Linked DNA regions of Arabidopsis thaliana. The protein of the gene in region 2 interacts with the protein of the main gene of each other region in a pairwise test. Each region holds a gene or a part of one and is shown on either strand. Other genes may lie near its edges. The genes, in order: OFP13, ZML1, WRKY45 and CAND1.

Region 1 (4,684 bases), on a different chromosome or scaffold from region 2:
ATGTGTTTCCTATAGAAAAATCAATTTTGTGAAATTGAGGAGGAATGAGAACATGCATAGCTCTAAAATTATGAAAAGAAAGGAAACAAAACAAAACAAACAAAACAAAAACAAATAAACGTCGTCGTCTAGGTTGGTCCCAAAATTAAATGTAGAGTAATAAATGAAAAGAGATAAGAGAGAAGTGAGTAGGTCTATGATGTTGGGATTCACAGGGCCTGTGTGTGTGTGACCACTGACCACAGCACCATTGCTCATCTCATGTTACTCCATTCACTTCACAATACAAAATACAAATTACAAATCTCTTTTGTAACATTTCAATTCAAACGTTACTATAGACCAACATTCTCTTTTAATGCACCCTCGTAAATACACTATCCTTTTCTGTATTTTTAAAACTTGAATCTCATAAGTTCATGACAATTACATTTATACATACACTACGGGTGTTTCTATTACGCTTATTTTCAAGATTTTAACTCCAGCATGGATATCACAAAAAGGGTTTTGCTAAATATCTTACGTGATGATGCTTTTAAGAGTCAAATCAATAAATAAAATCTCTATGTTATTAATGTTAATACATGAATTATCCGAGCATGATATTTAATGAGTCTTACAGTTTATGTTAGTGTAGTAGTCCTTGTGTAACCATCGAAAATTCGTAATACCAAATTTTATTTGGGGAAAAAAAATGTAAGGTCCAATATTTGTGACAAAAAAATTTTTAATATGGATGCCAAAGGAGCTACATGCCTACATCTAATGAGAAAGGCTATATAATATGCCTGCAAAAAAAATGAGAAATTATAATTCTATGTCCTTTAAAACCTAAAAAAGAAGTAAAAAATAAAGAGCTTAAATAAAAAGAAGTATCACAGAATTTATTCTTATGTATATTTCCTTTTAAAATGGGGCTGTTATACAAAATTTCTCTGAATCTGTTGGCATAAACTTCGCTGAGTTTCATGAATTTTGGGGGAAAAATAGTGTAACTTTCGAGTTATGACAAAAGGCACTGTTATACACATAAATCAACAATAATGGCTCTAAAAATATTTTTGATATATATTTAATGGTTCTTTTTCCTCTAACCACTAATTACTTTTTACAAAATCCAAAAAGGGTTAATTAATCTAAACAAAACCGGAGATTAAAAAATTTAAAACCGAATCTTAAGCCTTTTTTTATTTTTAACAGCTCCGTCTCTCTTCCTCTTGAATCTCCGTCTGACCTTGAGATAACGAATAAACCGGCGACGACGGCAAAGACGAAACGGCGGTTGAATAACGAGCCGAATCCGATACCGAAGCCGACGTTATTCCGGCGCCGGAATCAGAGAGTCCAGAGAGAAGATCAACAAAAGCACTGACGATAACGCCGTGACTCTTCCTCCCATTCATCCTCAAATACCAAGCGAGCATCGATTCCAAGCTCTCCCAATCTTTAGCCAACTCACCGTGACTCGTCACCATCTCCTCCATCGATCGCCGGAAATCACCGTACGGATCCTCGGATTCCATCGCCACCGCGACACTAATCTCCTCAATCGGCGTACTCCGATCTTCTCCCACCGCAACCGTTTCCTTCGATTTCAAATCCGATTTCGATTTCTCTTCAATCTCTTCCAGAATCGAACTCGTAACTCCTGGATCGAAGAATAACCGCTCCGATCTAACAACGCCACGAACCACCATCTCTAAGGACTCAGCGTCAAGGTCTTGATCCGACTCGGTTGAGTGACTCGCTGTCTCGGACGAGTTAGTAAACCATGACTCAGGCGTCTCCGCTTCCAACAAATCTCCTCCATTGTTGTTGTTGTGGTGGTGGTCGAAGAAAACAGAGTTCACCGTCTTGATCATGTCGTCGCCGACTCGGAACGAAAGAGTTTTGGCATTGTAACAGAGAGGAACCGCTAGTAATCCTCCGGCTCCGCCTTTGAACAGAGAAGAGAGTTTCATCTTCTTCTTCCCCATTGATACCACCAATTGTTTTTTTCTTTGTGAAGATCTTTGGTTGGGTTTGGGTTTAGTAATTAATGGAAGAGGAAGGAGTTGGAGGGAATGCGATATATGGGGAGAGAAGAGAGAGCTGGTGGGGTCAGGTCATGTGTCTATTTAATTTTGGGATATTTTTCTATTTGTTGTTAATTTTCCATTTTTTTCTGGTTAGTTATTTGAAGTGCTTTTACTTATTTAGTCTAAAGTCTTAACTATAAAAATTACGATGATTGAAGTTGATAGTTTGTTTTTGTTTTGCTTTGTGGTTAGCTTTTTCGATTCGTTTTCTGTTCAACCGGGATTTCAATAGTTTTTTCCAATATTTGATTTGCTACAATCCAAATTTTTAATATTGGTTTTTTCTACACTATTCGATCTAATAATTGATCAATTTTACAAAAATGTTTTTATAATGGAGATATATTATTTTTACAAATAGTTTATTGCTACATTTTACAATAATGTTTTTGTCGTTGTGATTTTATTGATATACACATGAGTGGAAGAATTATGTTTTTTACAAATATTTTGCTGTTTTGAAAAATTGACAATCTTCTTGTGTGACGAAAACACTTATCCTCATGCAGTTTACATATTATTAGCTCCATGGGTTGTTATTGCCTTGTTGGAGAGGTTGAATTTGTATTTTTTAACTAACAAAAGTTTCATGCAAACACGATATAATGGCTCTATGGGAATTTGAATTTTTATTTTGTCTTTGTTATCTAAATTTAAGATGATAATATTATACTCATGAACAAGTATAGTAAGACACAGCAGTAGCATTCAATTTGGTTGAAGACAAGAAAAATTAAATATTTTAATTAAAATAAAATAAAATAATACTAGAAAAAATGTTAGTCCCGAGCCAATGACAAAGCACTGTGCAGAACACAAAGCATTAAAAACGATTGCTTACAAGAAAATGTTGCAGAAAAACAAATCCCAATAAACATTTAGTAATTTTATATACTACTACTACTTTATAAAGGTTGATTGACGGTACTACATTCTTGTCTATTGGCTCGTCTTGTCAAATCTTCTTCTCATTTTTAATTACTCTCTCTTTACGACTTTAATAGTGTTTTACATCTTAATTAATTTGTTTAATTTTTTTAAAACTGATGTATAAGCTATTTTGTATTATATAATCCATAAACGAACACGTAAAAATCGTACTGATGCAGTCAGTTTTGACTTTCCTATAAGCACTGTGAGCTTCTAATACTCTCGGTCAACGTGTTATCTATAAATTACGTATGTGTAAATTATATGAAGCTTTGAGCTTAAAGAATGTTTCTTCTTGGTCGCAATACAAATTTCTAAAAGTAAGAATTGTAATTCAACTGAATAATTAAACTCGATGAACATCAGTTTCTTGAATATATATTTAAAAATAATTTATTTCGTTTAATTTTTTTTGAGGAATTGAAGTCTTATATTCGAAGAAGGACTATGTTATATGTATGTTTTTAATTAATGATGAATTTCTTGGACGATTTTCTTTACTAAGGTAAAATATATGATCCATCAAGGTAGAACAAGAATGTAGGGGATAGATCCTGAGACAGTGTCCTTTAGGAATCAGTCAATATTATAGAGTTTATCAGAGATATAAAACTGAAAGTAGTAAAAGATTTAAACAGAAGCAATCTGATGTTGAAACCCATTGTTGTGAAATAAATGCATCATTATTTTCGTACATTTTCAACTTTATTTACCCAACACCTCCATATCTTTCTCTTTTGCAAAAATTTCCTGTTTTGCCTTAATTTGCGTAAGATATTGGATCAACGTTTGTGGGATAAATATGGGAACATAGAATAAGAAAAAGAGAGAGAAAGATTGTGTGCAAAACTCATGTGAGGAATTAAAGAGGGCACCGTTGAATCACGCATATATTAACTGTGGATTTCCATCTTCTACTACTAGATCTTTAGTTAGGGGACCAAATTTACAAAAGTACAGTATATTCCTCTCTATGGTTTAAATTTTTAAATACATTAGACTATATATAAATTACATTTTTTCATTTACAGTACTTTGAATACTCTACAGTGTTCATGATAGACTATTCAACTTGTAACGTGTTTGCAAATGAAGATGTCTAAAAATAAAGTTTATAACATGCAATATTTGGAATACTCTACAGTGTTCCTACATCTTTTTAATTTTATGTTCAAATACGACATTTTTGCCATATTATCCTTTTAAATTTGCTCCCTATTTATACAGTTGATTAACAAAAAGTTATTTGAATACTCTTACTTGGTTTTATGAAACTGTTCACAATTTCAACAATTCAACGAAAACCGAAATTATAATACATGAACATCTTGGACATGCCTCTTTTATCCCCTTGCTAAAGACCGACATTAGTATAATTATTCTACTTGAGTTTTAACTGTGTAAGAAATAATAAATGCCAAGCACAGTTGTAAGAAATCTTAGAAGTAACTTCTCAACAACTTCCACGGTGATTTAAACTTTTTTTGTTTTTTATCCATTACTAAATAAAGTATTTTAAGAAATTTACCTCAAATATTTTTGATGTTGATATTTACTAACTTTTAAGTTGGTAGATTTGATAAATGGTCAATATTGTGCTTAGAATTTGTTTACATTTTGTTTAGCTTCAGTATTTATTTGCATTATCATTAGTAGCTAGAGAACTCAAGATA
Region 2 (5,752 bases):
TTCTAAGAAGCACTCTTCTAATGCTCCAAGGCACTCTATGGCTCTCGTGTTGATTGATCATAAGGTTTATTCAGTGAGATCCAATCTCCGTGGAATTCACAATAGCGTTGCTCCATATGTTAACATAACATGTCATTTTAGCCTAAAAGAACATCTTTCTAATAATTATTCAACAGAAGTCGATATAGGCCACGTCTTTCACTGCGATGGCTTATTGCTATGCACCACCAAGGACTATAGACTGGTGGTTTGGAATCCGCTTTCAGGTGAAACAAGGTGGATTCAACCAAGATTTTGCTACAAGAAAGATGACTGCTATGCTCTCGGTAGATCCTCTTGCAACAAGTACAAAATCTTGAGGCAGGGTCGTCTTATCAATCCTAGCGAAGAACGTTACGTGTACAACATCGTGGGGGAGGATCTTGTTATCAACAATAGCCAAGAACGTTACGAGTACGAAATCTATGACTTTAACTCTAATTCGTGGAGGAGTATTGGTGTGATCACCGGCTTGTTCAATCCAAATATCACCAGTGGCGTGTCTGTAAATGGAATCACTTACTGGTTTGATATTAGTGAACAATTCTTACTAAGTTTTGATTTCTCAACAGAGAGATTTGGAAGTGAGTCTCTCCCAGAGGGTGATAGTCATTTGGCTTTATCAGTGACTAGACAAGGGAAACGACTTTGTATGTTATCTACTAATTACACATACGTAACCGGAACAAACGTTAACTTATGGATAGCAACGAAGACTAGTGAGAACACCAGAGCAATGTCATGGAGCAAGTTCCCAATACTGCGGGGCGGAGTTGGTCTACGCTATCGTTGTCATTTTAGGGAAGGGGTGAGTTTCTTCGCATACCAAGTTAAGGAGAAGATTGTTGTAGTTTCTTGTCATAGACCCAACCGGCACTCCAAGGACATCATACACATTGTGGAAAATGATAAATTCATAGAATTGGATCATCATGGTGCAAAACCTACACATGAATTATCTCCTACCCCACGTCTCCTCATATATGTTCCAAGTTTGGTTCAAATTCAACATGGTATTTAGTTCTTTGGAGGAGGCACCAAGTCAGCCAGTGCATGGCCTTGTAATTGTCACACTAGTCTATGCATTATCTAATCTAACTCTTGATATTTTATAAGTAAGATATATGTACGCATTTCTAAGTTATAACTTGTTGCTACCCTTTTGCTAGTGGATAATTCGAGGCACATGGCATTTTCATAATTGGTCAATTAGTTATTAAGTACCAAAATTTTGAAAAGGAAAAAAATTAGAAATGCTTAGAACATATTAGAGCAAAACATATGTAAATTTTGTGCAAGAATAAGGGAAAAGCAAATAAAATCAAAATAAAATTGTATATTGTGGAATTAAGAAATGAAAGAGGAACGCAATTTAGTTTTAAAATCTGACATATTAGATATAGTTGAGTCAATTGTTTTCCACCGAAGAATTGGTTGTGGTTCCATCTAACTTAAGATATTTTGTGTTAAGATGGTTTATTTGTAGAGATATATTATAATTATATATGATTTCTAACCAAAACAACAAGAAGTTTTTAAAGATGGGTACAAATTGAATTAACTAATGTAATTCCACATTGTCATTTGGTAAAAGAAAGATATCTTGACAAAAGAGATTAAAAGAATTATGTGAAAAACCTTGGCGACCTTAAACCATCTCCAATGTCTTTATATCTTTGGCATCATTAAGAGTAAATGTGTATCTTGATCAAACCTGAAACCACTAAAGAAAAACATATGAACTCAAATAGAGGCCAATTAAAGATGAGGTCCAAAGAATAGGGAGTGTCAAGCCTTTCACAAAGACGACGCCGTTTGGCTAAAAAAGGCCCAAGATCACAACGACGACGTTTGCTGAAGAAAAATGAAAAATCTTTCACTACAATCATTAGACCAAAAAAGAAAAAAAAAATCAAAGGAGCTTCCTTTTTTCGCTCTCGTCTCCGTTTACCCTTTTGGGATTTTTCCCTAAACCTTTTTCTCTCTTTGTATAATCAAATCCTCTTTATCTTTCATTGTTTCGCGTGAATTAGCTCTGCAAAGGCTCTTCATTCTTCTCGCTTGGATTCCTCTGCACAAAAGGTACCCATTTGATGTCAATTTTGGTTTATTGTTTTGATTGCCCTGTCCAAGTGACAAGTCTTTGTATGTATGATATAGGTAGTGGGTTCTAGTTTGTAGATGAACTTGTCGAATTTGGAGGGTTTTTAGTTGGAAGCATTTATATGTGGGATTTGGAATTGTTCTGTCTATTTGTTCTTAGCTTAAAGGTTGGGACTTAGCTTAGGACTTATGAGCATGAGAGAAGGAGACTTTTTTTCCAATTCGAATCTGATTGATGAAACTTTTTTTACTGGATTTGGGTAGATATTGTTACGTTTTAAGGTAGTTGACTGTTGTTAGTTGTTGTTTACTCGAGATTAGATTATTGTCATCTACTCTTGTTATAAAAGAAGCTCCTTTGTACTATATCAGTGCTGATAACTATTAATGAAGTTCCTTTCCCTTAGGTGGAGATAGTTTCTTTGTATTTGCAAACTCAATTTATGTGAGAATATATCCACCATTATTGAGTTTCTTCAACCTATACCGTCTCTGACAATCTCGCTTTTTCGTTATTAAGAACGTTCCAGTCTTAATTAATGTTATCTTCCTTTGGATGTAATTGGTAACAAATTGCAGAAAAAAGACCATGGATGATCTTCATGGAAGAAATGGTCGAATGCACATTGGTGTAGCGCAAAATCCAATGCATGTGCAGTATGAAGATCACGGTTTGCACCATATCGACAATGAAAACAGTATGATGGATGACCATGCTGATGGTGGGATGGATGAAGGAGTGGAGACAGACATTCCTTCTCACCCTGGAAACTCAGCTGATAATCGTGGTGAAGTTGTAGACCGTGGAATTGAAAATGGAGATCAATTGACATTGTCCTTCCAGGGACAAGTTTATGTTTTTGACCGTGTCTCGCCTGAGAAGGTAACTTTAAGTTAATTTTGGTTCTTTGATGTTTTAGTTTTGGATACATATGGTCAACGTATCCACCTGGTTGGTTTTGTTTTTCGCTTATTGAAGTGCTGCTCAATATTATGCAGGTTCAAGCTGTGCTTTTGTTACTTGGTGGAAGGGAAGTACCACATACACTCCCAACAACCCTAGGATCACCTCATCAGAACAATAGGGTACTGGTAATAAAAGATTTAATACCATATGGGAAATCAGTTTATTCCCCAGTTTGTTGCTGACTAATAAATGAACCAGGGTCTATCTGGTACTCCTCAACGGCTTAGCGTTCCGCAGCGGTTAGCTTCTTTGCTCAGGTTTAGGGAGAAACGAAAAGGGAGGAACTTTGATAAGACTATTCGCTATACAGTCAGGAAAGAAGTAGCCTTGAGGTACGTTTATGTCAAGTACTAGCTTTTGTGTATGTCGAGCTTTTGAGATACGTCTGTTTTGCAATTAAGGTTTTGTTTGTTCATGCAGAATGCAGCGTAAGAAAGGTCAGTTCACGTCGGCTAAATCAAGCAATGATGATTCTGGATCCACTGGATCGGATTGGGGGTCAAACCAGAGCTGGGCCGTAGAAGGGACTGAGACTCAGAAGCCAGAGGTTTTGTAAGTTGAAAATGCTTTAAATTTCTTACAACAGTTATATTAACTTTAGTGAACTCGTTATAAAACCTCAATTAAGTCTAATACATGGAAACAATTTATTTGGTAACCATTTAATGACGCTCTTTTCACTTCCATAAACTTTGTCTATATACGTCAACTCTGAAATTTATAGTTATACTTATCATGATGGCATCACTCATTCGATACCTGCAACTGATAACTTATACTTGTGAGAGGATAAAAATAACTGAACCGACTATGTTGTTGCATGTTAAGTCATTGTAGTTGATATGAACTTATTTATAGCTTGGTATACTTGGAAAGCTTGTCTCTGTTCTTATTCTTCGTCAAATGGTTGTGAACATGTTAAGATGTCGACACTGTGGAACAAGTGAGAAGTCAACTCCAATGATGCGACGTGGACCTGATGGGCCAAGAACACTTTGTAATGCGTGTGGACTGATGTGGGCAAACAAGGTAAGCTAAGAGTTTCTTAGTTCACATTGATCACCTCGTCTCGTATCACTTTTTTGACTCATTGATCAGGCCTATATATCCGAGTATGAACCTAACAATAACATTCCCTTTGACTTTATAATATCAGGGGACTCTTAGAGACCTATCCAAAGTCCCTCCTCCGCAAACACCTCAGCATCTATCTCTGAATAAGAATGAGGTGAGCCGTGAGCGCAGTATTTCATAGAGCTGGAGTTTTGATTTGCTTATTAAGAGAACATACATTCATTTTTTTTTTCTCAATCACTTTTGTTGCAGGACGCAAATCTTGAGGCTGATCAAATGATGGAAGTAACTGGTGACATTAGCAACACACAGTGAGAACTGAGAAACCATTGGAAGCAAGAAAGGATCTCAAACAAAAACAGTTGTTATCATTTCATTTGATGATGGAATCGAATCTGAGTTGTGTTTAGGGTTTCTCTGGGTTAATCTCAGTCTATGTGGGCACATTTTAGTCTTCTACAAATTATAAGACACTCTTCACTTATTTAGAAGCTCACTCATCAGAAAAGAAAAAAAAAACTTTGCTCAGTCTCTCATCTGTGTGTTTGATTATATTTTCAGGCAGAAAACTTTTTTTTGTTCTTGTATTTGATTACAATTAGTTAAATATTTAAGACTTAGTAGAGATAATGCAATCTATGTATAAAAATAGAAACAATGATTGGTTATGTCGTGCAACCCAAGTGACCTTAATGTCGTACACACGTTCATCAGGTTAAAACGAAATTTCTCAGCAACTTCACTATTCTCTCTGTCACATTGTTTTATTCTTTTCCATTATCTTTATTGGAAACTTGATTAGAAAGAACTGATTAAGGTATGAAGATAATTAGTGTACCATTCTTCACATGATACGAGGTGAACAATAGTATATCAGAATACTAGAATAATTTTATAAGTTATAAAGATGAATGGTATACCACTTATTACAAAACGAAAACATAGTTAGATCTGAGAAGAAGGAAAGATTTTTGTTTTAAAAAATGAGATGGTTAGATATATGCCATGTTAAGAGATGCCACCATGTTCTTCTTCTTCTTCTTACCCGGAAAAAACTCTTTCTTCTTCTCTTTCCCATAAAAAGAAACAAAAAAAAACTAACTTCCCACAAATTTTGCCAAACCAAACCAAAAATAGTAATGATCTCATTCAATTTGAACCCTCTCTCCATTTTCTTTCATAGTTTTTTTTTAGGGTAAATCAAAATATTAATGTTGGTTAGAAACTCAAAAATTAGTTTCTCTTTTTTTTCTCTGTGATTGACAGAGAGGTAAGAGAAAAAAAAGAGAGAAAGTGTTTCGGTTTTTGTTGCCTTCTCTCGAGTTAGGCCTTCTCTCTTCCGTCACACCATCATTTTTTTTCTCCATAACGACCAAATCATAAAACCGGTCGTTCCTATTTTTTCTTTCTCTGCGTTTTTTGTTTCGAATTCTTCAATAGAATTTTAAAAGAAAGAAGAAAGCTGGGTGAGACGAAGGAAGGAAGAATGAGCACTTCGTCGAGCAACGGATTGCTTCTGACGTCAATGTCAGGACGTCATGACGACATGGAAGCTGGTTCTGCTAAAAC
Region 3 (4,558 bases), 7.1 Mb from region 2:
AGGAGTTGGAGATTTCACAGCTTTGCAAAAGGGCATTAGCTTAGCTATCATGAACCCTCTTGATCTCCTTCTGTTCATCTCCATGATATTACAACTCTTTTTTTCTTTCCCGATCGAGATCTACCTGTAGCTGGTGTTTCATGCATTCAAACATAGTGTGTTGTTGCGTAGATATATATGGGAGGGTTTCGTTATGTTGTGACGAATACATGCAGGGAGATAGAGATATCAAAGACGCGTGGTCCTTCGTCTTGCAATAATATCACTCAGAAGCATAACATGTTGATGACGAGATCTCAACTTTCAGGCTCAAACAGCCACGACGACACATCTCATTTTACAATTTAAAATATATGATATATGTGTAATTATACAGTACAGGGTTCAATCCTTACGCACTATATTTACGCTCCTTAATTATCTATCTTCCGCGGTAGACAGATGATACGGACGATTTATGAGAAATATCTCGGAGAAAATTTATAAGATATATCTTGTAGTTCAATTAATAGATATATTATTCTCTAAGTTCTATATGAAATAATGGATGGCGCAAAGCCGCAAACTCTACAATTTCTCATTGCAAAACATATTTTCCCAATTGCTATATAAAAAAAGAACATAACATTTTTCCATTCAATGGGTTCGGAAAAAAGTGAAAGTGTTGAGATTAAGGAACCGTTATTTTATCCGTGTTTAATAAATTTTGTGTAACTAACTTTTTCGTATAACTTTTGAAAAGAATCAAGAAAATGTGGATAAGTTTCGATTTATGTAAGAATGTGAATTAATTTATTCGTGAGAGATTAATATAAAGAAATTCACAAGCGAATAACATTATCTTCGTGCGGTATTGTGGCGGCGGTAAATTAAAACGCAACAATTTGAGTTTGATAATTATTACGAAAGACTTAATTAGCTAAATCTGTAAAATAACATTATCTTCGTGCCGATGTCATCAAAACACTCTAGAATAGAAAAGGAAGAAAGCATATCTTTTGAGAAGATTCTGACTGTTATGTGATCTATATATATTCTGTTGCATATTTGCTTTTGTGTTAAATGGTCCAATGGTATAATCCAATAATATCACCATATTCCGGATGACATGGTCCTTGGTTCTTTTTGTAAAGATTTGGGCTTGTTGGGCTGACTTGACATTATGAAAAACACGAGAGCCCAGGCTAATGGGCCTAACAAAGAAAGCGTCCTCCGTTCTAAAGCGAAACGTGAAGCATATTCGCAATTGGATCCAAGAAGAAACCTCAAAGTTAGCTTTCGTACTCTTTCTCATCTTCATCTCCACAATATCCTTAGCTTGTCACTAGTTTTGGAATAATCGGTAGGTTTGGGATACATAACATTGTTTTTGTAGATGATAGACTCATCATTGCTTCTTTATGTTTGGTAATTTGATGATGAATATACTTTCGATTACAGGGCAGCCGAGACTAAGACACCAAAGCAGATGGATTCAAAGGTCCCATAAAGACAAAGATAAGGATTAGTATTTTTGAGATATGTGAGTTGCTGCTAGTTTAAAAGTAAAGGTCTGATGGTGTGAGCCCAACGTTTTTGGGAAAGTAAATATTACAATCCAATTCCTCTAATCATTCCTTCAAGCAAAAGGGAGGGAAGATGTGCATTTGTGTCAAGATGTGGTGGAAATTATCAGAGGGTTTATCAACGGCATGTGTATGAACACCTTGGTATGTCGTCACCACCACTCCTTCGTCTCCCCATTGCCTCTGCACTTGCTTCTTCACTCTGCATCCTTCTTCTGTGCACTTATAATAGCTCCTATATATATATATATTCATATTTTACATGTATGTATATGAGTCTCTTATTTGATCACCATAGCAAGCATACAGTATCATTCATTGATGATTAAGTACGTACCTGGGGAATGGATTGTTCTTGACTGCTTTTTGGCCGTACTTCCTCCACCTGTATCCATCATCCAGTATATCAACCTGGCTTCTTGTCTGGAACGCGTACCTCGCTTCTCTCTCTTTCTTCTTCTTCTTACTCCTTGGCTTCTCTTCGGATGATGTTGTCGGCTGAGCAGAGTTGTCGACCCCATGAAACTCTGTCAAGCGAGGATCAACCGATGATGAACATGGAAACAACACATCACACCTCCTATCCTCCATTTCTTAACTCCCTCTGCGTTTATGGTGGGAACTTGAAAAAAGCCAAGGAGGGGAGGGAGAGAAAGAGAGACGTACACGGTAGCGAAGATGCCAGAGAAAGTGATATATATTGAAAATATGGCTACATTAGCGGATCCATCACAGAAAAAGAGTTTTGTGGAAACAAAAAGGTGTGGCGGCTACATCATTCTGATTTATATTATTATATATGCAACTCCTTCAAATTTTGGTTCAATGGATTCAAATTTCAAACATATTTCTTGGTCAAGAATCAATATGCATCTAGATCTCTGAGGTAATCATTCTTTTCTTATTTGATTTACAATTTGGATTAGCAAGGTTTCCAAGATAATATCCAATATCACGTGTATTTGAGGTTCACCTACCAAACTTGATTGAATTCAATAAACAATGAGCTCGAATGATGTTGAGATTGTTGACTATTTTGGCTCTTTGCTTTCTTCTATACTTGTCAAAAGTATATAATCATTGATTCCATGGATTATTCATCCCTCCATAGTTATTCAAACTTGATTCATATTCACTTTTTACACACAACATAGAATTATAATAATACTAGGCATTGATCACATGTAGGATTTGAGACGGGGTCGCGTAAGGGACTGCGCTCCATCCACCAAGACAGTGGTGCCTGTCATGAAGCGTGAGCCATCGCTGATCAAGTAGATAACAGTGGAGTAGAGGTCTGTGTCCGGGTTGAGCCACTGGCCGAGGGGTGCAGCGTCCTTGACCAGCTTCTGCGCTCGGTCTCTTCCCACAGAAGCTGTATACTCATCATCCAGATGCAGCCCTCTAGAGATCATGTTGACCCGTATCTTGTGCTTCCCGAGACTCATGGCTGATGCCTGAAACCCAATCATCAACAAACATATTCAAGTTACGAACGCGATGTGTCTAATTAGGAGCTAGGATGCATACCCGGACGAGCTGGTGAATAGCGGCAGAAGTTGAAGCGTAGGCATCAGCGCCAGGGTAAAGCGCCCTCTCTCCGCTGGCGATAGTGGCCATGAAGACAATGGAGCCTCCTGATCCATGGTCCTTCATCCTTGTGGCTACAGCCTTCAAGAGAAACCATGGAGCGGTGAGATTGATCTTTGTGATTCTGTGGAACTCATCTTGAGAGACTTGAAGAATGTCCTGCACCTTTCCTGCAAGAAAGAAAGATTGTTGAATAAAGGAATGATCAACACACAAGAGCATCAAAGGCAGGGTAGTGAAAAACAAGAAGCAAATTAAACCTTGGTAGGTATAAGAGTTGAGAAAAGCATCGAAATGGCCGGAAAGTTCCCATGCCTTTTGGACAGCGGCATGAAAAGCAACTTCAGAGTCAGATTCCATGTCGAGTGCTATAACATCGGCAGGGAAGGCTCCCTCAATGGAATCTCTAATCTTGTCTACAATGCTCCTTAGGGAACCCTCATTTCCCATCATTACCAACCTAGCAACAGTACATTGCATTTTTTGAAGGTTAACTATAGACACCAAAGTCAACCACAACACAAATCGGGGCTAGAAGAAGAAACACAGGATAGGAGGAAAGAAGACAAAATGAGAGACTCACTTGCAACCGTGTTTGGCTAGATGGAAAGCGATGTTTCGGGACACCTCGTCGCCGTTGGATGTCATCAACACTCTCTTCGCCGGATTTTCCATTTTGCCAAAGTAACTCTTTATAAAACAATTCAGCAGATTCAACAAGACTTAAGGGAGGGAGGGAGTGAGATTGATTCGATCGCCAATTCTAAATAACTATAAAGAGTGGCTGCAAAAGCTCTTACCGGAACTGTGTCTGTGTGTTACCAAAACGGCGAAACAAAGCAAATAATTAATGCCTAACCACATGATCCACCACGTTCTGTTGTTACCTTCTTTAATTTGTAGATAGAAGAAGATGGTGATTGATAACGGAGATGTATTTTTTTCTTTAATAAAAAGCCCACTTCAAGGCCCAGATCCATTTCTGTACTTTGTAGGTTTTCCAACTTTCCCGGCGCCGGAAGCAAGCGTAAGTTATCACTGTTCCCCAACCAAATTCCATCATATCCTATTATCCTACTACTAATGGATCCATCTCCAAGATTCCTAATTTCACTTTGCTACAAACTTATTTCGTGTTTTTGGTTTATAATTAATAGCCGTTGTTGGTTATGAATATGTAAGCATAAAAGGCATTTGGGAGCTCCAGACAGACAATGAATCATCAACATCAGGTACTCTGTCTTTCGTTTATGTTTCTGTTCCATTCTTTTGAAATATATAGAGGAGGAACTTGTTATTAGCTAGTCCATTGATCAACACACAAAGAGTGAGAATGAAAGCAATTCCTCCAACCAAAAGGATGCTTTCCCTTATTGATTTAGTTGGACCAATATATAAAGAGA
Region 4 (5,465 bases), on a different chromosome or scaffold from region 2:
CGTTTACCTATTAAGTCACCGCGGAACCCAATAAAAACTCTAGAATACGCAAAGGATCTTGACGCATCAGCACAACTTATGGCTCCCGATGACCCTAAGAGAAAGGACAAAGAGAAGAATGCTACTAAGATCTTTCAAAGTCATATACACATCACGCCTTATGTGATACATGTTTTCATTGAGGTAACATTTACGGTAAATAATTATTTTTAAGAATTTTCACTTCTTTCTAATTTTTTATTAACCTTTCTTTTTTCTCCCATTGAAGGTTTAAAAAAAAAAAGTATCCGAATATTGAGTTTATCGTTGCTGCTCACAGCTTGTATATTTGGCTAATAATAAAGATAAAAGCGTTTATGCGGTTCTCACTATTAACACTGACCTCATACCATTTAGATGTTGAAGAGTAAGTTCTTTAATACACTTATCAATTATTATTATTTTAAAGGTTTTTCTCATGTAGACATAACATTAATTTTTACTACCACTTTAAACTTTTGTGTGATCACAAATTATTTTCGCCAGTAAAGACTTTGAATTGCTTGAACTCGAAATGATAGACTTATTGAAGCGGTTTCATAGTAGCAAGAAAAATAAAGACAACGAAAAAGAAACTAAAGAAGAAGCAAAATCTTACGATTTTTCAGAATTCACAGACGATAATTTTCTGGAGATGTGCATTCTTTGCGATTGTGACTATTTTAAATGGCCATTAACGGAGGGATCCGAAAGAGCATATGAAATAATTGGTACTAAAACTATACGTGGTAGAGAGGTACTTTTTACTTGGTTTAGTTCAAAATAGTAGTATACTATACATTTAGATTTTGTATTTGCATGTATGATGACATGATGTGTGTTATTCATTTTCTTTCAGGTAATAGAGGAACTACTAGAGGACAGCACTGACCTAACTTCTCATCTGAAAAAATTCATAATTTTGTTGCTTTTCAAATATTAGTATGTCTATAATCAAGTAATTGAAGAGCTTCAACACTTGAATGTGCCTGAGGTGTCTAACCTTCCATTCTTGCGTGACCGTGAGTCTGGCGATGAATTTGTCATTCGAAAGTATGAAGATTCTACGGGCACATATTTGTCAACAACTAAGACTAAGGAAATAGCATAAGGAAGACTTAATCCTGAAACCCACGAAAAATTTACACACGTGGAAGTGGAAGAAACAGATGACGAAGAAACTACTTAGACAAAAGTATCTAATAATTTGAATTTCGAAGTTCTAGTTCAAAATAAAGGAAGTCTAATTTCGACAAAAAATCTCACATCTATACCATATTTTACGGTTTTAGTTTTTTTTAGTCGTTAGCAACAATGACAATCAGTTATATTTTGTTAACTTTATAATCGTTAGCGATGACTATCGACAATGAAATCATGTTTATTTGGTAGTCGTTGGGTCGGGAACATTTAACAAATGATTTTGATTCAATTTTTTTTTTTTCTTATAAACCTTATCGGCTGATCTGGTTAGCCCTAGTAAAAACACACCGAAATGTTTTCGAGTGGACTTCTTCCCGAAAAACCACCATACTGTCTGTCTGTCACGAGTTTGAAATGCTTTCTGACTAATGCCAGGGGGTAGTCAGGCGGCCGCCTACATTTCTAATTACCAAGTAAACCAATTAAACCAAGACCCAACTTATACACTTACCAACTTTCAAGGAGAATCGAACTCGGGTCTAAGAGTTTCATCCTTCCCAAAGCTTCCCCTACCACTAAACCACATATACTTGGCCTAGGTTGAAAACTTTCAGTGATACAATTTTTTACTTGCTAATCGTTCAAAAATATTGACCATAAATTGTCGATGAACCAATGGCTAACACTATTTAGTTGGTTGGTCGCAATCGCATAGCATGTCCCTGACACAAAAAAAGCAAACAAAAAAAGAACTACTTGGATCAAACAAAGAAACCCATGCTTGGGCTCAGACTGAAAACAAAGTAATTGGGCCAAACCCATTTAGTATTAACCGACTAATCAAGTCCAACAATGTACAGCATGAAATAAACGCTACCCATTAACCGACTCAAATCGCACCAAGTCAGGCCCAATTAATCCTACACAGGCCCATTTAGAAGAAAGTTAACTTCCTCCTTAAGAAGAGAGAAGGGCTAAAAATCAAGCTTTCACGAGTACGGAAATTTACAGTATCTCCTCCATCTTTTTTTACTTTCCTCAGAGCTCTCTCCTCTCCGCAACTTCCACCACCACCAAATCGGAACTCTCGGCGTTCTACTCCGTCTCCGGCGTTACCTCCGTCGATTTCATCTTCTCAGGTTACTTAGGGTTACCTCTTTTTTGCTTTTTGATCGATAAAGTGTGATGATGTCTAGCGTTAACTCTTTTCGTCTTCGTAGTCGTAGTCTTAGGGTTTTGGTGGCGACGATACTTTGATTTATCAAACCGAACTTCTTCTTTGTGATCTTCGATGAATCAAAAGTTTTCTAAGGGATATTAATTAGGTTTTGTTACCGGCGATAATTAATCCATCTTCGATGCTTCTTCTTTACACTTCTGACTTTGTTTCTGATGTTTTAACCTCTGTGGAGAGCTTGATAGAGTGACATTGCTCTGACTAAGCGTTTTAGTTCAACGCATGGTTGATTCTCTTTTTACTAAGTAATGAATTTTGAGATCCTTGTTTGATTGCAGTTGGAAGGAGTGAATTGAGAAGGTCGGGCCAATATGGCGAACTTACAAGTTTCTGGGATACTCGAAAAGGTCTTTTCATCATCTGTTTCTAATTAAGCTTAATTTTGTTTTTGAGTATAGTCACCTTTTCTCATTGCTGTATTTACTATAGTTTCAGATGACGGGTAAAGATAAAGATTACAGATACATGGCAACCTCTGATTTGCTTAATGAGTTGAATAAGGATTCCTTTAAAATCGACCTGGACTTGGAGGTGAGATTGTCGAGTATCATATTGCAACAGCTCGATGATGTGGCTGGTGATGTTTCTGGATTGGCTGTTAAATGGTTAGCTTTCTGCTCTTAGCAACTTATGACCTAAGCTGATGTTATACTTTTACATTTAGCTGATCTATCGTCGACCTTTGATGTTATGATTTTGTTCCAGTCTTGCTCCATTGGTGAAGAAGGTTGGAGAAGAACGAATTGTTGAAATGACCAACAAGTTATGTGATAAACTGCTGCATGGGAAAGACCAGCATCGTGATACCGCAAGCATAGCTCTCAGGACTGTTGTCGCTCAAATTGCTCCTACGCTTGCTCCATCTATTCTTGTTACTCTAACACCACAAATGATAGGAGGAATAAGTGGCCAGGTTAGTTGTTGGGAGGTCTATTCCTTATTATTTCGATTGCATATGCGACAGTGCTTAGGGTCGTCCTAGACAATTTCGGATCCCATCAAAATCATATTGATTGACATCTATTGGAAAATTAGTTGATTTTACGTTTTAAGTTTTATTGGATCTAATACAGTTAAAGAACTCTGTCTGAAAAACTCTTAGTAGACCAGAGCACAGTATATGCATATAATTATTTGTCTACTCTAAGGTTCTATCATCTTATTTTACAAGTAACTAATTTTCTGCGTATTTACTGCTGAAGGGAATGAGCTCAGGGATCAAGTGTGAATGTCTTGAGATCATGTGTGATGTTGTTCAAAAATATGGAAGTTTAATGACGGATGATCACGAGAAGCTATTGAATACATTGTTATTGCAATTGGGCTGTAACCAAGCCACAGTCAGGAAGAAGACTGTTACATGCATTGGTAAGTTCATAAAATTGAGTCAATATGATTGCTGGGTACTGTCGGTACTAATGTCAATATTTAGCTAATTTGAAACCAACTTTAATCTGCCGAGACTTGAGTGGTAGCTTTCCTTATCTATATTAGAAATATGGTTTTCAGCTGTTTGCGTCAATTCTTGTGAAACCGATGCTAGTTCAAATGATATATTCAATGTCATTTTTTTCCTAGTCGTATATAGAACTCTTAATTCGATGGTATATAGCCTCTTCTAAGTTCAAAATTTTGTGTGGTGTCAGCTTCTCTTGCTTCCAGTCTGTCTGATGATTTGCTCGCGAAGGCGACTGTTGAAGTTGTGAAAAATCTAAGTAACAGGAATGCAAAATCGGAGATTACACGTACCAATATTCAAATGATTGGAGCTTTATGGTACTTCCTATCTTCCTTCTTATCGGCTTGTTATATATCTTTAACTTCTTACCATACGTTACTGTAGTGTTGTAGTATGCTTCGGTTAGTTGTACTTGTGCTACCTATTTATTGATTGGGATGAATGGTTATCTACGACTAGGCTTGCCATGGTTGTAATGCTATTTAATGCGTTTTTGTTTCAGCCGTGCTGTTGGTTACCGGTTTGGCACTCATCTAGGTAACACTGTGCCAGTATTAATCAATTACTGCACTAGCGCTTCAGAAAATGACGAGGAGCTTCGCGAGTATAGCTTACAGGTATCGTGCAAGATTCCCTAATGTTCCTACTTTCTCACTACGCTTGCATTTTTTGTTTTCTCATCTAATTTTTGTAATCAGACAATTACTTAGGCGTGCTTGTAGTCTCTTTTCTTTCCTATGCTATTAAATTGGAATTCTAATCTTAGGTTCAATAAAATTGGTATGAACAATGTAGACGATAACATGTCTGTTCTGAAATTTGACTGCAGGCACTTGAAAGTTTCTTGCTACGATGTCCCAGGGACATCTCACCATATTGTGATGAAATTTTAAATCTTACTTTAGAATATATTAGTTATGACCCGAATTTTACGGACAATATGGAGGAAGATACTGATAATGAGACTCTTGAAGATGAAGAAGATGAGTAAGTTCTGATTTATTCATTGGAACAGTAGCCTAGCTCCTTACGGTGCACCATTATCTCACTGAAATAAGTCTTTCTTTCTCACAGCGAGAGTGCAAATGAGTACACAGATGATGAAGATGCCAGCTGGAAAGTTAGGAGAGCAGCGGCCAAATGCCTAGCAGGATTAATCGTTTCGCGTTCTGAGATGCTCACTAAAGTATATCAAGAGGTATATCTTTTTTAAATGATCAAGCGTATTATCTTTCATGACGGGAGTGTACAAGATTCCCTTACACAAGAGTTTTTCATTCTTTTACCTGTGTTTGATTAAATATGAAACAAGAATCTACTATAGAATTATTGTTGAGGAGTTTAGTCTCTTCTTGTGCAGGCCTGCCCGAAACTAATTGATAGATTTAAGGAAAGGGAGGAAAATGTGAAGGTATGTAATTTAATCCATTAATGCTCTATTCTTGCTTTGCAATATGGTTATTGATCTAAGACTGAGGTACTGTTGTTACAGATGGATGTATTCAACACATTCATTGATCTGTTGCGGCAAACGGGAAATGTTACAAAAGGTCAAACTGACACCGATGAATCAAGGCAAAAATTCTGAGTCCTTTCACTTCAATATGG

The links.
Region 1: the proteins of ZML1 (region 2) and OFP13 interact in binary tests that used the Arabidopsis thaliana proteins (3 or more experiments, as listed by UniProt).
Region 3: the proteins of ZML1 (region 2) and WRKY45 interact in binary tests that used the Arabidopsis thaliana proteins (3 or more experiments, as listed by UniProt).
Region 4: the proteins of ZML1 (region 2) and CAND1 interact in binary tests that used the Arabidopsis thaliana proteins (3 or more experiments, as listed by UniProt).

Annotation. Positions count from the first base shown.
Region 1 is NC_003076.8:1,396,980-1,401,663, reverse strand, and holds OFP13 (ovate family protein 13), read right to left. Parts: upstream 2,270-4,684; 5' UTR 1,980-2,269; coding exon 1,197-1,979; 3' UTR 880-1,196; downstream 1-879. UniProt on the Arabidopsis thaliana protein: Transcriptional repressor that regulates multiple aspects of plant growth and development through the regulation of BEL1-LIKE (BLH) and KNOX TALE (KNAT) homeodomain transcription factors.
Region 2 is NC_003074.8:7,420,101-7,425,852, forward strand, and holds ZML1 (ZIM-like 1), read left to right. Parts: upstream 1-1,935; 5' UTR 1,936-2,121; intron 2,122-2,721; 5' UTR 2,722-2,731; coding exon 2,732-3,025; intron 3,026-3,141; coding exon 3,142-3,234; intron 3,235-3,307; coding exon 3,308-3,441; intron 3,442-3,529; coding exon 3,530-3,661; coding exon of another isoform or gene 3,662-3,665; exon of another isoform or gene 3,666-4,032; coding exon 4,033-4,138; intron 4,139-4,265; coding exon 4,266-4,337; intron 4,338-4,435; coding exon 4,436-4,498; 3' UTR 4,499-4,805; downstream 4,806-5,752. Other genes in the region: AT3G21170 (F-box/associated interaction domain protein), read left to right, coding at 1-1,060; ACA9 (autoinhibited Ca(2+)-ATPase 9), read left to right, coding at 5,670-5,752. UniProt on the Arabidopsis thaliana protein: Transcriptional activator that specifically binds 5'-GATA-3' or 5'-GAT-3' motifs within gene promoters.
Region 3 is NC_003074.8:325,004-329,561, forward strand, and holds WRKY45 (WRKY DNA-binding protein 45), read right to left. Parts: upstream 2,410-4,558; 5' UTR 2,157-2,409; coding exon 1,903-2,156; intron 1,801-1,902; coding exon 1,611-1,800; 3' UTR 949-1,610; downstream 1-948. Other genes in the region: AT3G01960 (uncharacterized protein), read right to left, coding at 1-84; AT3G01961 (uncharacterized protein), read left to right, coding at 178-348; AT3G01980 (NAD(P)-binding Rossmann-fold superfamily protein), read right to left, coding at 2,744-3,022, 3,096-3,615, 3,739-3,830. UniProt on the Arabidopsis thaliana protein: Transcription factor. Interacts specifically with the W box (5'-(T)TGAC[CT]-3'), a frequently occurring elicitor-responsive cis-acting element.
Region 4 is NC_003071.7:687,636-693,100, forward strand, and holds the start of CAND1 (cullin-associated and neddylation dissociated), read left to right. Parts: upstream 1-2,148; 5' UTR 2,149-2,300; intron 2,301-2,676; 5' UTR 2,677-2,709; coding exon 2,710-2,745; intron 2,746-2,827; coding exon 2,828-3,003; intron 3,004-3,103; coding exon 3,104-3,311; intron 3,312-3,600; coding exon 3,601-3,766; intron 3,767-4,044; coding exon 4,045-4,174; intron 4,175-4,359; coding exon 4,360-4,474; intron 4,475-4,686; coding exon 4,687-4,844; intron 4,845-4,931; coding exon 4,932-5,055; intron 5,056-5,217; coding exon 5,218-5,268; intron 5,269-5,349; coding exon 5,350-5,432; intron 5,433-5,465. Other genes in the region: AT2G02550 (PIN domain-like family protein), read left to right, coding at 1-183, 962-1,129. UniProt on the Arabidopsis thaliana protein: Key assembly factor of SCF (SKP1-CUL1-F-box protein) E3 ubiquitin ligase complexes that promotes the exchange of the substrate-recognition F-box subunit in SCF complexes, thereby playing a key role in the cellular repertoire of SCF complexes.